Saccharomyces cerevisiae S288C: one gene and its partners. The protein of the gene in region 3 interacts with the protein of the main gene of each other region in a biochemical or structural test. Each region holds a gene or a part of one and is shown on either strand. Other genes may lie near its edges.

Region 1 (3,860 bases), on a different chromosome or scaffold from region 3:
AGGAGCAGTTGCAGGCGCATATTTTGGAGTTGGTGGCCAAGGATGTGAAGGATCCAATCTTGAAACAGTTGCAAGGCTACGTCTGGGCTCACGGATACGAATCTGGGCAGATTAAGGCGCCCGTTTATGCAGATGCTATTGACTTTATCAAGAGGAAGAAGCGTGTGTTTATCTACTCTAGTGGATCTGTAAAGGCACAGAAATTGCTGTTCGGGTATGTTCAGGATCCCAACGCGCCTGCGCATGATTCGTTGGATTTGAATTCTTATATAGATGGTTATTTCGACATCAACACTTCTGGAAAGAAAACCGAAACACAGTCTTACGCCAACATCTTGCGGGATATCGGTGCGAAGGCTAGCGAGGTACTGTTCTTGAGCGATAATCCATTGGAATTGGACGCAGCGGCCGGCGTTGGAATAGCTACTGGGTTAGCTTCCCGACCTGGTAATGCACCTGTCCCCGATGGGCAAAAGTACCAGGTATACAAGAATTTTGAAACTCTTTAACAAAACTGTATATATGCGCTAAAAGCAGTATAATCATTATTTGTTGTTGTTATTATTATTATTATTGTTATTATTATTATTATTATTATTATTGAGATTAATATTACCATCTCTCTGTTTTCTTTTCTTTCCCTTCTAGCATATATAAATACACATACGTTATTGATTTCTACGTAAGCTTTTTTTTTCCCTTGGCTCAAAAATCATGCAACATTGTCGAGAATAAGTGAAGATACTTCAAGCCATAACATTACTACAATCTCAGTCGGCATGATCGCTGAATAGAATATTTGCTGCAGCTTCTTCGTTTTTATCGCACGCAAAATACACCTGGATAACAAGATCTCTTTCAAAGCCCAATTCACAGAGGCGCGAAATAGCTTGATCGTCTTCGGGGGTATAGTCAACTTGGAAAGAACCTTCACCTTCACCTTGTCCCAGTCCTGCAGCAGCAGCCTCTCCTGTAACTTCTATATCCTCTCCTTCCACCATATCATCCGCACCTTCCATAACATCTTGCATATTGTCACCCACGGCTTCTAGCAACATGGACACAAACACTTCTGGGTTTGCCATGATATGTTCACGTAATTGAGGATATCTAGCACTTATGTTTTCCAACAATGGGGCTAAAGCTTCTGGGTTACCTGAAACGACCTGTCTCAACGATAGTAAATCTTCTACAGTGAGGCCAATGGAACCTGGAGGTCCACCTTGCGCAGCATCTGTAGCTCCTCCAGTTGTGCCAAGCGCACCGGATGAAGCATTACCGCCTTGGGCAGCTTGTGCAAATAAGTCGTCTTCAGCCGGTTGTTCCGCAGTGGTGGCGGCTGTCGATGGTTGTTCCGCTGCGGCGGCTGTTTGTTGCTGTGGTTCCGGTTGACGCAGATTTTCTGGAATACCCATCAGTAGATATTCCACCGCTCTATCTGGATTATTAAAGGCTGCTCTCAAGGCTCGTTCGACTTCCTCTCTTTGGTAGCCCATTTCCATGATTCTCTCGATGGTCTCGTTCCTCTCGGTTCCCACCACGAATCCCGGTGTAGAGGCAGATTCAGTACGTTCTGTAGTGGCGGTTTGTTCTTCTTGCGGTTGTGAGCCTTCGGGAGCAGTGGCTGCAGGAGCTGCAGAAGCATCCGTACTGGGGGATGCTTCTGTAGAATTTTCTCTTCCGGGGGTAGTGGCGCTCTCAGGAGCAATTGGAGGTTCTGTTACTTTGGTCTTCGTGGACTTTTTTTGAGAAACCATGAAGACAACTTGGTCCCCATCTTTTAGCCCGCATTCCGATACGGTTTTGGAATCTTGTAGCACTTTACCCGAGTAGATCAGTTTTATTTGAGATTCTTCACAAGAAATGGATTGAGCAAGCTTGGTCTTGGTCTCTAAAATTGTGTTTGAAGGTTCCAGATCTAAAGGAACTTTTTCCTTCTTGAAATTTTTAAAGGTTAAGCTAACCATTTTTCTATTGTATGTTGTCTTTGTGTGATCTGTGATTTAAAGGTGGAGTTAGATGCCTTTATTAAGTCTTTAGAGGAAGGAAAATTGGATGGTAGCAAGCTTGTCTGCGAACGGCCTTATCAATGGTTCAAACTTAAAAACAGGGAGAAAAACCTAAGTGTACCTTCTAGCTTTAGCTACTAGTCAATACTGGATGGGACCTTGTTCTATCATTTTTTCTTAAGTTTTGCTGTCGCTATTTCTTGCCTAGCCATAATGAAAGAGAAGAAAATAAAAAAATTTCAATTTCGCCACCGAGCCGTGTATAGTGATTGATATAACAATGGTATTGTAATTCACTCAAAGAAAAGTTAAAGACCAAAGAATAGAGGTTTGATATTATTATCGGTATATATGTACAACTATATGAATTCGTACTTCATATGTAGGTCACTAAAAAACCGAGCCTAGTTTCTATCAGGGTCGAAGTCTAATGGAACTTCTTTAGGATGTTTTTTCTTGTTCTTGTCGTTGTCATCAAGAGGTTTCCCCTGCGGGTTGCCGTCGAGCTGTTGTTGCTGTTGCTGTTGCTGCTGCTGCTGTTGTTGTTGTTGTTGCTGTTGTTGTTGTTGTTGGTTGTTTGGTGAGACAAAGTCACCCTTTGAGTCCACCAGCTCCGAGCCATCTCCCTCTTCAGACCAGTCTACAGTGACTTTATTGTTCAAAGTGGAGTCAATGTTTTTTAAGATTGAATCTCTTTCTTCGTTCCATTGGTCTCTGACATCTTCAAATCCAATCTCCCAGATCTTGTTGTAAAATTCGCGAATTCTCTCTTCTTCTAGTTTCCGCTTCTCCTCTTCAGCCATCCAAGCCATGTGCTTTAAGTCGTCGCTGGAAGGTTCGTAGATGTGCCAGATGACATAATGGGGCAAGCCGATGACATTGTAATTCATCCTGCGGGAGAGCCTACCGAATGCTTCTGTCTCTGCGTGCTTTTCAAAGGAGAATGCAGGAAAGTGTGAGCCTGTTCTGAATACTTTAGCTTTCGCGAGAATCGAGACCCCTCCAATACCGTCCAATTCCATTTCGTCTTCTGGATTACCGTTTGGGTCTCTCATGTATGCCAGGTGAGGTCTCCAAGTGGCGTACTCTGGGTACCCTTCCACAATGACAGCATCTTCGTCTAGGGAATCCGCCAATTGAAGACCCCCTTCTGATTCCTTCCATGAATTTAAATCGTAGGGTTGAATGTTTCCCAGCCAGTCTGGTAAAGGTCTCCAGACGTTGGGGACAATGACGTCCTTGTCGTGATGCATTAGATCCTCCATGATGGTAGTGGGGATGGTTTCGACATCCACGTCTCTCCAGTAAACCCAGGAGTGGTATGGTTTCAGGGCCACGGACCCAAGCCAATTACGAGCCCTGGCCATCAGCTTTCTTCTGGGGCCCTGGGCGCCAAACCCGTGACGATCAGAAAAGGACTGACCAATGATTTGGCCGAAGTCCTTCTCATAGATTTCGATGTTACCAAACCTTTTGGACTTGTCTTGTTGCGATTGCGCCATCTGTAGATTGGATAGTAACACGCCCATGGTGTTATCCGAAGAGTCACTCACCAAAAACGACAGATCAATCAGGTTGTGCGGATATGTCATGGTATTCAGATGGTTAAAAAACATGGGAAGATGCTCAGAAGCATCTCTCAGTGGCACGCAAAACAAGATGCGGTCACCCTGTTGCCAACCATCTTTGTTGCCTTGGTAATTTCGTAGGTCGTAGAACTCTACGCTGGGAGTATTTTTAAAATCTGGAACATAGGGCTTGAAGATTCCTTGGAAAGTTACCAGCTGGAATAGCGATATCGAGAAGAACGAAAGCACGAGTCTTGTGAGAAAGAACACCGTAAGCAACGTT
Region 2 (5,030 bases), 120 kb from region 3:
CAAATGGGCTATGCAAAAGGTATAGATCGACATAGTCAGTGCCCATCTTCTTCAAAGCTAAATCTAGTCCATCCGCTGGGGAATCTGACATCTTGATTTGAGGTGAGTACTTGTCTGTCAAGAATATTGCATTTCTTGGTTTTTCGGTGAGGCTAAGTGCCTTCCCAACTTCTGGATATGTTCTGTAGATCTCAGCAGCATCAATGTGAATAATGCCAGGTAACTTCAGAGCATAAACAATCTGTTCGACCAAACTGTTCGAAAAGGTAGCATCCGTTTCTTCGTTTTTATACCATCTAGTACCTGTCCCAATGATGGCGATTGCGGGGATTTTATTTCCATTATTCAAGGTAAAGAACTGTTGGTGAAATGACATCTGTAAAAGTGTTGTTAACTGACCTCCGTTTCTTTAGGGTAACACAACCGTTTACATGTGTATCCATATCCACGTAGTATCCGACTATCAATATATCCGTATATATATATATATATATATGGGATGAGCGTATGTGAGTGTTTTCGTAGATATTCAAAATACGAGTAAAGGAGATCCTAGGTGTGGATTAGTAAGGGGAGTGTGGCAACTTCCTTTTTCCGGTTAATTCTCCGCGCTTTCGTTAGACTATTTTGCAAGGACCCAAATAGGAGACGCATGGAGGCTTCTACAAAACAGCGTGCCGTTTTGATGGCATGAGCAGGGGGCGCAAAGGAAACACCGGTAAATCGCGCAAGACCTTGTTGGCCACGTAGCCTCAAAGGTTGAATTGACACTTGTCTACAGAACTTGAAAAGTACAAAAGGAGGTCACATAAAACAGTAAGCTTGAGAAGCTTTAAGATATGGTGCGAATCGTTACAGAATATTCCTTGCAGAAATAATGGCGGGTCCGTTCTCTTCTGAAGAAGTTACCGCCCTACTGAAGCATTGCTGTACGATCGTGTAATGTGATGTGTGTTCGACTGGAAAGCGGAGAACATTATGAAGTAAAAGGACAATCAGCACGCCTTCCAGACTTTTAAGAAACATTGATGGAGCCATTGATATCGGCACCGTACCTAACAACAACAAAAATGTCTGCTCCTGCTACGCTTGATGCTGCCTGTATTTTTTGCAAGATTATTAAAAGTATGTCACATTACTAATAAAGAGCTTACACTCACACCAATGATGGCGATAGTCTCTATGTAGTACATATACATAAAGCAGAATACTAACAATCGATCCGCTATGCAACAGGCGAAATTCCATCCTTCAAATTGATTGAAACAAAGTACTCGTATGCTTTCTTGGACATCCAACCTACTGCTGAAGGTCATGCTTTAATCATTCCTAAGTACCATGGTGCGAAGTTGCATGACATCCCGGACGAATTCCTTACCGATGCTATGCCGATTGCCAAGAGACTGGCCAAGGCAATGAAGTTGGACACTTATAATGTGTTGCAGAATAATGGTAAAATTGCGCATCAAGAAGTCGACCACGTCCACTTCCATTTGATTCCTAAGAGAGATGAGAAAAGTGGTTTGATTGTAGGGTGGCCAGCCCAAGAAACGGACTTCGATAAGTTGGGCAAGCTACACAAGGAATTGCTTGCCAAACTAGAAGGCTCCGATTAGAGTAATGCATGCTATGATTTCTTTTAGCGTTTTCTTTTCATATTTAAGTTTATACATATGGGTGTGTTTGCTTCCATTCATATCCACTCTATAATGCTAACAATCATGTTACTAGCCATCGTTGCTATCGATACCTTATGAACAGCTCTAACTCCTTCCTTTTTAACCTACCGCCTTTTGCGCACTACCCGGCAACCCCTCGAATGTGAATTCGGTGGCAAAAAAGGACATATATCAGGGCCGTGTATTTAAGAGATCCGCAGTTGATGTAGTCAATTAATCTAGTTCTATTAAGATTTGACTCAACGCCATTGACTCGATAACTGGCTCAACTACAAGACAGATATACAAATCATGGGTGAAGAACATAAACCACTTTTGGACGCCTCGGGTGTCGACCCTCGTGAGGAGGATAAAACCGCCACCGCCATTTTAAGAAGAAAGAAGAAGGACAACATGCTTTTGGTGGACGATGCTATCAATGATGACAATTCTGTCATTGCTATTAATTCTAACACCATGGACAAATTGGAATTGTTCCGTGGTGACACCGTTCTCGTTAAGGGCAAGAAGAGAAAAGATACTGTCTTAATTGTGTTGATCGATGACGAATTAGAAGACGGAGCATGCAGGATAAACCGTGTAGTTCGTAACAATTTACGTATTAGGCTGGGTGATTTAGTTACAATTCATCCTTGCCCCGATATCAAATACGCTACTAGAATTTCTGTGTTACCAATTGCTGATACGATCGAAGGTATAACTGGTAATCTTTTCGATGTTTTTTTGAAGCCTTATTTTGTGGAAGCCTACAGACCAGTGAGGAAAGGCGACCATTTTGTTGTCAGAGGCGGTATGAGACAAGTCGAATTCAAGGTTGTGGATGTCGAACCTGAAGAATATGCCGTCGTTGCTCAGGATACTATTATTCACTGGGAAGGTGAGCCAATCAACAGGGAAGATGAAGAAAATAATATGAATGAGGTGGGTTACGATGATATTGGTGGTTGTCGTAAGCAAATGGCTCAAATTAGGGAAATGGTTGAACTACCATTGAGACATCCTCAGTTGTTCAAGGCTATCGGTATCAAGCCACCAAGAGGTGTTTTGATGTATGGTCCCCCTGGTACTGGTAAAACCTTGATGGCAAGAGCTGTTGCTAATGAGACCGGTGCCTTTTTTTTCTTAATTAATGGTCCAGAAGTCATGTCAAAAATGGCTGGTGAATCAGAGTCTAACTTAAGAAAGGCCTTTGAAGAAGCCGAAAAGAACGCTCCAGCCATCATTTTTATCGATGAAATCGATTCTATAGCTCCAAAGAGAGACAAGACTAATGGTGAAGTTGAGAGAAGAGTTGTCTCTCAATTGTTAACTTTAATGGATGGTATGAAGGCAAGATCTAATGTTGTTGTCATTGCTGCTACCAATAGACCAAATTCGATTGATCCCGCTTTAAGAAGATTTGGTAGATTCGATCGTGAAGTCGACATTGGTATCCCAGATGCTACAGGTAGACTTGAAGTTCTACGTATTCACACCAAGAACATGAAGTTGGCTGATGATGTTGATTTGGAAGCATTGGCTGCTGAAACACACGGTTACGTGGGTGCTGATATTGCCTCTTTGTGTTCTGAAGCTGCCATGCAACAGATCCGTGAAAAAATGGACTTGATAGATTTAGATGAAGATGAAATTGATGCAGAGGTGCTCGATTCTTTAGGAGTCACCATGGACAACTTCAGATTCGCATTGGGCAATTCAAACCCATCTGCATTGCGTGAAACCGTTGTTGAAAGTGTCAATGTTACTTGGGATGACGTTGGTGGCCTAGATGAAATCAAGGAGGAATTGAAGGAAACTGTAGAATACCCAGTCTTACATCCAGACCAATACACAAAGTTTGGGTTATCACCATCAAAGGGTGTGTTGTTCTACGGTCCACCAGGTACAGGTAAAACTTTGTTAGCAAAAGCTGTAGCTACTGAGGTTTCTGCCAACTTTATCTCAGTCAAAGGTCCAGAATTATTGAGTATGTGGTATGGTGAATCGGAATCTAACATCCGTGATATTTTTGATAAGGCAAGAGCAGCTGCACCAACCGTCGTTTTTCTAGATGAATTAGACTCCATTGCCAAGGCAAGAGGTGGTTCCTTGGGTGATGCTGGTGGTGCTTCGGATAGAGTCGTCAACCAACTATTAACAGAAATGGATGGTATGAATGCTAAGAAAAATGTGTTCGTGATTGGTGCCACCAATAGGCCAGATCAAATTGATCCTGCTATTTTAAGACCTGGCAGATTGGATCAATTAATTTATGTTCCATTGCCAGATGAAAACGCTAGATTATCTATTCTAAATGCTCAATTAAGGAAAACACCACTAGAACCAGGGCTAGAGTTAACTGCGATTGCCAAGGCCACTCAAGGTTTCTCTGGTGCTGATTTACTCTATATTGTGCAGAGGGCTGCTAAATACGCTATCAAGGATTCTATCGAAGCTCACAGACAACACGAAGCTGAAAAGGAAGTGAAAGTAGAAGGTGAAGACGTGGAAATGACAGATGAGGGAGCAAAGGCTGAACAAGAACCAGAAGTAGATCCTGTTCCATATATTACAAAGGAGCATTTCGCAGAAGCTATGAAGACCGCTAAACGTTCTGTTTCAGATGCTGAATTGCGTCGTTATGAAGCATACTCACAGCAAATGAAAGCATCTAGAGGTCAATTCAGTAATTTCAACTTTAATGACGCTCCATTAGGTACTACGGCTACGGACAATGCTAACAGTAATAATAGTGCTCCAAGTGGAGCAGGTGCTGCATTTGGTTCTAATGCGGAGGAAGATGATGATTTGTATAGTTAGTTATATGCCAGGTATATTTTTATTTTAAATCGTAAATTCAAGTCATTTCTATAAAAAAAATCGTCAATTTTAACTCAATATTTTATGGCCCTTTTTATATTTATTTTCAAATTTGTCAAAAAAAGGAGAGCTAAATCATTAGAAAAAGAATGCATTATGGTATATTTATGTATATTAATATGTAAAATAAGAAAAAAGGGAGGCTGTAGGACCTCGGTCGTAAGAACATTTACCTGTGTTCTTCCGCCTTTTCCGAAAGTGCCATGAAGAAACGCAGGCCAGGCATAATTTCGACATTTAAAATCACGATTTGAAGTAATTTGACCAATTCGATTTCTTTACTTTTGTATCTTCTTTTATTATCTGTTTGTTTAACCCAGTTTTCAAGATCACAGGGCGCGCTTTACTAAAATTAAAAGGCTTAATTGTCGGTATTGGCCTATTTTCCTTGTTATCGTGTTTGGAGTCTATGTTGTATGTTCGCGGAGAAAACTTGTCGCTAATGTTATTGGATTCGTGTAGTTCGGGCAAAGTTCGTATTCTGTTACTATA
Region 3 (5,552 bases):
ATAGGCCGGTGTTAAAGCTTACGAACTAAGAACCAAATCCAAGGAACAATTGGCTTCTCAATTGGTTGACTTGAAAAAGGAGTTGGCTGAATTGAAGGTCCAAAAGTTGTCCAGACCATCTTTGCCAAAGATCAAGACCGTCAGAAAGAGTATCGCCTGTGTCTTGACCGTCATCAACGAACAACAAAGAGAAGCTGTTAGACAATTATACAAGGGTAAGAAGTACCAACCAAAGGACTTGAGAGCCAAGAAGACCAGAGCTTTGAGAAGAGCTTTGACCAAATTCGAAGCTTCCCAAGTTACCGAAAAGCAAAGAAAGAAGCAAATCGCTTTCCCACAAAGAAAGTACGCTATTAAGGCTTAATTGGAAGTTCAATTATATACTATCATTATCTATAGTTCCAACTTTTCTACGTTTTTCTAGCACCTTTTAAATAATTGTTAAATTAAAACATTTTCATCGAAAATCTTCAAAATATAAGACACATTGAGCGATGAAATAAGCCTTATTTGATTAGGGTCAATTTTGCAATTTATTCTATCACTTATTCATTCACTCGCTTGCTTTATGTTTTGCTTCTTCCTTTTTTTGTTTTTTGAAACAAAGAATCTTTTGCCTTAACTCTTCATTAGGTGTTACATCCTCTAGTTTTAAAGGCATTCTATTAAACGGGTCAGTAGAGTCACTAAGCAGATGTGCTTTGATCGTGCTTCTATCAATATTCATCTTGGATGCTGGTAAAATGACAGGATCCTTCATAATTGTGTACATCAAAGGATCTAAGAACTCGTCAGGAACATCACCATACTCAAGATCTTCCTCTTCATCAGCCTTTCTTTGCTCTTCGGCTTTATTGGCAAAGTTCAATAGTTTTTCGATGAACTCTGGAGATGCTAAACCAGTTTTTCTACCAAGAATATCAACTGCGCGAACAAAGAGATTTCTATTAAATGATCTTTCATCTTTAGCGACAGCACTGATGAACTCTGATTGCTCGGAAAGATTGATATAAACAGTTGTTAAGGCTTTCAACAAATCTTTTGGGTTGAATGAATAACTTTGTGGGTCTTTCACTTTTAGTTCCCCGCATTTGGGACCGACAAGTGACTCTAAGTTATAGTTTAGCATACTTGCCAGTCTATATACGATTTCTGGTGTGACAAATGCAGCCGGTATATCCTTCGAATAGATTTCGAACAGTTTCATCGATTTATCGGCCAATCCACACGAGGACTTAGCTTGCCTGGAAGCAGACGCCAATCTTGTTTGTAGTTCTTTGTCCTCTTCCTCTCTTGTTGGTGGCGCGCCCCTTGCACGATTATCCAGCTCATTTTGGATATTATGCACCTCAGCCAAATTACTTAGGCCTTCATCCAACAGGAAAGTCAAGTCATTCAACATACGAGCAACGAACCTCACAAAAAAGTCAGCATTGTTTTGAGACTGCCAGATCAATTGGTTTTTATAAGATGGTATCTTGTAATAAAGCTCCTCCAAAATTATTGATATGCTATATCTGCTGTTGAATTTATCGTAAAATTGTGAAGAAGAGCCTGTTTTTTCAACAATAACATAAAAGTCTAGTAGAGCATATAACAGATTCTTGTTAACTAATTCGTCGTGTTCGAATATATCCATCATGAATCCGGGGGAATTGTCTGTTAGAGGCATAGCACCAACGCTTAATAACTGCACTAATTTACCTTTTAAATGTGGGTTGGAAACCAATTCAGGACAACGGAGGACCATTGTTGTAAACTCAACAAACGATCCCAGACGTGGATTTCTGAAGATTGGAGAGGTCTGGTACTTCGAAATGTATAGAGAATAGTTAACTGGACCTTCTACAACAAATTCTGGATAGTATTTAAAAGGCACTGGAGCATGCGCTCTCAAAAAATCAGCGTTGTCCACGTTTTCAACACCTATTTGGTCCGGAATTAATGGCAATTTAATTTGTTTAAACGGAAATTCGTGTTCAGGATCCACAACACGAATCAAGAACGTAGATGCACCACAAATAAAGTCGAAAACCTCTAGTTGAAGAGATCTATGAGCGAAGAACCCTTGAAGAGCAAATCGCAAAGATTCTGTTGTTTTCAACGCCTTCTCCATCTTGGATAATTGTGCTGTAATGAATCTGGCAAAGACATCGTGGTTCGCAGCTATTTTCTTTACTTTTTCAATTTCTTCCTTTAACGCTTTGATTTCAGATCCCATCTTCTCTTCAAATGATAATGTACCTCCCAGACCATAATGCAAATAGGTTAATGTCAAGAAAAAGCAATCAGAGATGAAGTTTGGCTTAGAATCTGCTGTTTTTCTGTTCTTGTCATAAAATGCATCTGCCTCTTTAAAATCAGAATTTAATCGTGTTTCCCCTGATAAATCAATAAATAAACTTGGGTTGTTGAAGTAATTTGCGTCGATCTTGTCGATTTTCTTATATGAAATATCTAGAAATGGTTGAGAAAATCTAACCAATAACAAAGTGATATTGGACATAAATCCGTTAGAGGATAGTTCTTTGAATGGTGGATGATCGGCTCTACGTAAATGGTTTTTATTAGCGATATGGGCAAAATAACTAATCATATCAGTCCTTGAGTTTAAGGAGCCACGAACAAGCTTATCGACAATAAAAAAGAGTCTATCTATGACAACTTTATGCTCAGCTTGTAGAGATTCATGGATCATGGCTGTCTGTTGTTTGGAACGCAAAAGGTTATCGCCGTAGTTCCGGATTGCCACAGCAGCTTCTATGGGAGAAAGAGATAAAATAGGCCCCAATATCGTTTTCCTTTCAAAATCCTGTGGTTTACAGCTATAGTCTGCAAAAAAACCATCTATTTTAGTGAATATTTCTGCAATAGGTTTAAATGTAACAAATAACTCAAAAATGGTAAGAACGTTATTGTAAATTACAGATTCGTTCAAATCAAAATGGCTGACATGTTTATTACAGTATTCTAATAATGTCGGGAAAACAGCGTTAAGTAAATCCAAAGCGGTACCTTCTAATATGGCTCTTTGAATGATTTGGGAAAGGAAATCAGTATATGAGTTAACGTTAGAAACAATTCCAGTGATATAATTGATGAAAGCACCATTCATGCAAAAGTTTTCTATTTGTAAGGCAACGACACCATAGCCAATGACAAGACGATCAATCTCTTGGAAAGTGGAATGTAATGACTCAGCATTTGGCTTGTTTTTGGTGATTCTTTTTTGTTGCTGATTACGGCGAAAGCAATCGTTCAAATATTCAAACGGTTTATCCAACTTCTCATTCTCGGTGAGTTGATATAATAGTAGCGTATCAATAAAATCAACTCCAAGAGTTGAGCCTTGAGGCACTTCCTCGGACTTCAATAGAGAGTAGCCACGGGTATCGGAAGGATCGGTGGTGATTTGTAAAATATCTTCTATGGCGGTCATGATCTATGGAATGAGGGTTCTACTTTCAAAGTTAACTTTTCCCCTTAAACAACTTGTGGTCAACTTTACCTTTCTATTGGCTGACACAATTCTCAAAGATATAATTAACGTTTACTGTGGCAACAGCAAGTGGTTGAGTCTAAAAATGTGAATAAAATGGCAATTACTTAATGATTAACAATGATTGCGGCGTACACCTCTATTATTTTGTTGCCAATGGTTAGAATCTACCTTTGATCTTCAATTCACCTTTTGTAATAAAGACAGACTATCGCCTCTGACGAATACTGACAAAATAGCGTCCTCGACGAAAGGATGAATCGTTAAGCGCAAAATAATATTGATATAATAAGAATATCGATTAAGAAGCGTTGGCTAGTGTCATATGCGGGTTAGCCTATCTGTTTCTTCTTTCTTTCACATACAACTCGACAAGTTTTGGCGTAGGCAATTGAGCCATATTGTACCAGCAAGCCGTGGTGACAGTATGTTGAAACGTGCATCTTATAATGGGCGCACGATTTATTTTATTTTAATTAATTTTTTAGTTATTTCGTATCGTACTAACAACTAAGATATTCAAGTCTCTTCAAGTATATAAGGAGTTAGGGCAGAAGTAGGTGATGACAGCACTAGATTCTCGAAACTGGGGATTGACACCCGCTATGGAAACGGGCTTGTTCCAGAAACCACAGGACCGTATCTTTATAATAGAGCTGGAAAATTCCATAGTGTCATTCATAAACTCAAACACAGAATCATTTCAGCTAAGACCGATGAATTCATATTATAGGCTTCTATCGCACCAAATAGCTGAGTACCACAACTTGAACCATGTTTTGGCAAGAACTCAAGATAGTTGTGTGATTCTTTTCAAAGGTGAGAATTTCCAAAAGATTGAAGGAAAGCCACTCTTACAAGAGTTGCAGCTGAACAAAAAACCGGAAGAGTGTGCTTCCTCAAGTGAGAGTATTGAAAAATCGAACAATAACAGAATATTTCGAATCTTAAAGCGGAAAGAGGTAGGTAACGAGTGCGATTATAAAATCGATGGCAATACACGTACACCAAATAGCAATTTGACAGCCAATTCAAATAAGGACCAAAAAATCGAAATCGATGATAAATCTAGTACTGATTTGGAACAAGAAAGAATTGAGAAGGAAAGACTTTATGAACAACGTAAACAAGAAATTTTTGATAAGCTCAACAAGAGTGAAGACGATGTAAAGTCAACCAACAGTAGCGGTAGTAGTGATAGTGACAATGAATGGAGTGATTGGTTGAACGGAGATGACTCTAACACACAAACTAGTAACGGTTCAGTTAGCTCTTCATCACCATTCAATTCATCTGTGACGACGATACAAGTAAACAAACCTCAACAACAATTTTATGATAGTCGAAGAGGAAGAGGAGGAAGAAGAAGAGGAACAAACAATTACAAAGATGCCTATAGAGGCCAAAGTCGTCGGAATAAAGAAAACGGCGGTTACCAATCGGGATATTCTTCGCCATATCTTGTGTATCCTCCTCCCCAAATGGGTGGCAATAGTCTGCCAACCTACCCTCTAATGTATAACCCCGCTGGTCCTGCCCCCGGTCCTGCACCTTCACCCATGGTAATGGGCAATAACACAGTCTTCATGAACCCTTACATGTACAATATGAATCCCCAAGGGTCCTGTTCGTTTGGCACCCCAATCCCTATGTATCCCCCATACCAATATCAATATCAATACCAATATAACACTCAGTATCACAGCGGGCCATATAGCAATACACCAAGCTATAATTCTAACAATTACACAAGATCCTCAGCAAATAAGTACCACCATTTTCAAGGAAAAAATTCATATTCTGGTGCGATTCCGAAACGTAGTGATGACAGTAACAGTAATAAGAATGAGGGAATTCGTAGGGCTAGTGTTGAGGGTTCGCCGTCATCTAGGGATACTGATTCGGTAGAGATGAAATTTGATAAATTAAACATTTAGCGTGAGGAGTGAACTATACATAGCGAAAAAATTACGTAACGGTTTATAGAAATTCTAGTATGAGAACAGTAATATATGAGAAAAAGTTGTTTTCACTTTGTGTTCGAAAAAATAAG
Region 4 (2,898 bases), on a different chromosome or scaffold from region 3:
CAAGCCTTTTGTTTCAAACTTAATATATACCTCTGCGGGGGAATTACTTTTTTGGTAATAAGCTATTTTCTCCAGCTATGGGCCGTACCATCGAGAGAAACTCCAGCACCATGGATTGCTGATGGTAGCTACAGGTGCTTTTTAACTGTGCATGAGCCAAGAGCCTTGTGAGGGACCATTCGTGGAGTCCAGCTCAGCTTGTTTCCGGAGAGTTTCCCAGAATAATAAGCAAACGCAATCTGAAACACGCACATTCCCGAATTCAATGGGAAATTCTTTGAGTCGTACGCGGAATGCGAGCGGTGCCGGGGAATTCCAATGAGGCTGATTAAACCGGACTACGGGCAAAATGGCTCATCTGAAACACCTTGCGCCGATAAAAGACCCTCACCTGTGTCACTAAATGGAAAGAGTTGGCGTAAAATCTTCCTGTAAAAGGATCTCACCATTTTGGCCTAAAACATCATCATATCTGTTTTCGTGGAAAAAAAAGGCCGCTCATACATGAATACAGTGGGCACATGCCACCTGTTATTCCATAGCTGGCTTTACTGTAATATTAGAATAGTTCCTATCTGTGTGAAAAGTTTCTTTCGTTACCTTTTTTTCAGAGTCAAAAGCTGGAGGAGGCTATTGTACTTGCCTGTAGTTCCAGGTAACAATCGCTTAAGCAGTGAGCCCGCTTAATGAGAGCAAGTTATATATGTTTTGCTAAAACCTGCCAGATTCTCAGCCTAGAAGATATAAATCTAACGTGGATTTGTTACAGGCTGTCATACCTTATGTACTTACGCATCGTATCTTGTATGTGTTCACTTTTTTCTGGTAACTACACCACTTGGCTTAACCTTGCCAGGAACCGAGTAGGCCACACATGTTTTGAATATTGTAAGTGTGTACAATAAGCTGCAGTACTCTTTTGATTCTGTAGGAAACCAGCGAAGAACGTACTCTTGCCTGAAGAGAAGTTTTTTTTATTTATTTATATTTTGTTCTGGAAGCTCTTTACAGAATGGAGTAGGAAAATATATAGAGAGGAAAAGCGAAATCGTTACGAGAATAAATAATCAAGAAAAGAAACTTGAACTTGGCTTTTCCAAAACAACAGAAGTAGCGTTAATTTACTTTCACCGTAAAATTCAACTCTTTAAATATAGTCCACTTAGTAAATTCTTGCCAATTTGCATGATAAATTCGAACCCATTCCTCAAAATAAAGGGTCCTCATACATTCCATGGAAAGAAAGTTTTCTTGAACATTAAGAATAAAAAGGCAAAAAAGAAAAAAAAAAGCACAGCTACTGTTTTAGTCAACATTCCTTTCTCACTGGAATGCACAAGGTGTCATTCCTGAACAAGGGTAACTGCACTATTCATATGTCCACCTTATGACTTCATAAAAAGTTTGACAATAAGTAGTCTTACGTGATAAGAAATGATGTAACATAAGGCTAATGTCCTTATTCCAAAGTATCTCATTTATACAATAAACAAAACTGATCTTACCGCCTATCCTCCTCTCCGCACTAATCAATTGTTATAGTTTTTCTCGAAGCGAGGATCAAATGGCCGAGCAACAGGAAAAGGAGTACCGGCGGTCACATGGTCTGCGAGATTTTTCCCGCTGCGGAAAAACCTGGCAACAGCTCACCTTGAAAGGCCTTGGCCTGTATTTTTCTTTTTTCTTCATCCTTCTTTCTTTTTCTTTATTCTTATTTTTCATCTTAATAAATAATCCAGAGAATAAATCTATCCTGAAAAAAAATAAAGTAAAGAAGCCAGGAAAATCACTATCGCCACAAGTAAATAAATTTCACTGACTATAGAGTACATACATAAACAAGCATCCAAAAAAACATGTCTTCTTCTAAACGTATTGCTAAAGAACTAAGTGATCTAGAAAGGTATGTCTAAAGTTATGGCCACGTTTCAAATGCGTGCTTTTTTTTTAAAACTTATGCTCTTATTTACTAACAAAATCAACATGCTATTGAACTAGAGATCCACCTACTTCATGTTCAGCCGGTCCAGTCGGCGATGATCTATATCACTGGCAAGCATCCATCATGGGACCTGCCGATTCCCCATATGCCGGCGGTGTTTTCTTCTTGTCTATCCATTTCCCAACCGACTACCCATTCAAGCCACCAAAGATCTCCTTCACAACCAAGATATATCATCCAAATATCAATGCCAATGGTAACATCTGTCTGGACATCCTAAAGGATCAATGGTCTCCAGCTCTAACTCTATCGAAGGTCCTATTATCCATCTGTTCTTTGTTAACAGACGCTAATCCTGACGATCCTTTAGTACCAGAAATCGCTCATATCTACAAGACTGACAGACCCAAGTACGAAGCTACAGCCAGAGAATGGACAAAGAAATACGCTGTATAAACAGAAGTCCTTACTCAGCTGAAAAAGAGAAGCAAGATTTATATGGGATTGGACGATGAAAAGAATATTAGATACAATGTATTTAAGAAAGAATACAATAAAATATATGTATATTCTATCTCTAATAACATAGATTTACTGATATAAGATATAAGACTATTGTTGGCAACAGTACAGGGGAACCTTTTTTTTTTTTTCCAAACAACTCGAATCGTAAACCTTAATTTAATTTATTCAGGGGAGATTCATGAACATTTTTTTCCTCGAACAGTATGGAGAATTTTTGCTTAGTTACATGCACGCAAGCGCGGGTATATCCCGCATATATTTCAGTTGTGGTTCATATTTGACCTAACTTGTCGAGGGAGCGTCAACGTTAACCGTACCTTTTTCATTTCTAGTCTATCTGTAGGTTAATTACTATTGTCATTAACATCATTTCTGGGGTGAAGCCTATTTAAATTTTTGAAGTTCAACGCATAGCTAGTATATGTAATCAA

Evidence for each region.
Region 1: the proteins of UFD2 (region 3) and RAD23 form a complex in vitro, tested with the Saccharomyces cerevisiae proteins (3 studies listed by BioGRID, with this or other methods).
Region 2: the proteins of UFD2 (region 3) and CDC48 form a complex in vitro, tested with the Saccharomyces cerevisiae proteins (5 studies listed by BioGRID, with this or other methods).
Region 4: the proteins of UFD2 (region 3) and UBC4 form a complex in vitro, tested with the Saccharomyces cerevisiae proteins (one study listed by BioGRID).

Annotation. Positions count from the first base shown.
Region 1 is NC_001137.3:80,637-84,496, forward strand, and holds RAD23 (Rad23p), read right to left. Parts: upstream 1,968-3,860; coding exon 771-1,967; downstream 1-770. Other genes in the region: putative acireductone synthase UTR4, read left to right, coding at 1-509; ANP1 (Anp1p), read right to left, coding at 2,414-3,860. UniProt on the Saccharomyces cerevisiae protein: Plays a central role both in proteasomal degradation of misfolded proteins and DNA repair.
Region 2 is NC_001136.10:235,605-240,634, reverse strand, and holds CDC48 (AAA family ATPase CDC48), read left to right. Parts: upstream 1-1,970; coding exon 1,971-4,478; downstream 4,479-5,030. Other genes in the region: YDL124W (aldo-keto reductase superfamily protein), read right to left, coding at 1-376; HNT1 (adenosine 5'-monophosphoramidase), read left to right, coding at 1,029-1,125, 1,237-1,616; cyclin PCL2, read right to left, coding at 4,782-5,030. UniProt on the Saccharomyces cerevisiae protein: ATP-dependent chaperone which probably uses the energy provided by ATP hydrolysis to generate mechanical force to unfold substrate proteins, disassemble protein complexes, and disaggregate protein aggregates.
Region 3 is NC_001136.10:118,154-123,705, forward strand, and holds UFD2 (ubiquitin-ubiquitin ligase UFD2), read right to left. Parts: upstream 3,440-5,552; coding exon 554-3,439; downstream 1-553. Other genes in the region: 60S ribosomal protein uL29 RPL35A, read left to right, coding at 5-364; RBS1 (Rbs1p), read left to right, coding at 4,063-5,436. UniProt on the Saccharomyces cerevisiae protein: E4 ubiquitin chain-elongation enzyme specifically involved in polyubiquitin chain assembly.
Region 4 is NC_001134.8:406,128-409,025, reverse strand, and holds UBC4 (E2 ubiquitin-conjugating protein UBC4), read left to right. Parts: upstream 1-1,856; coding exon 1,857-1,903; intron 1,904-1,998; coding exon 1,999-2,398; downstream 2,399-2,898. UniProt on the Saccharomyces cerevisiae protein: E2 ubiquitin-conjugating enzyme that catalyzes the covalent attachment of ubiquitin to other proteins. Mediates the selective degradation of short-lived and abnormal proteins. Mediates ubiquitination of PEX5.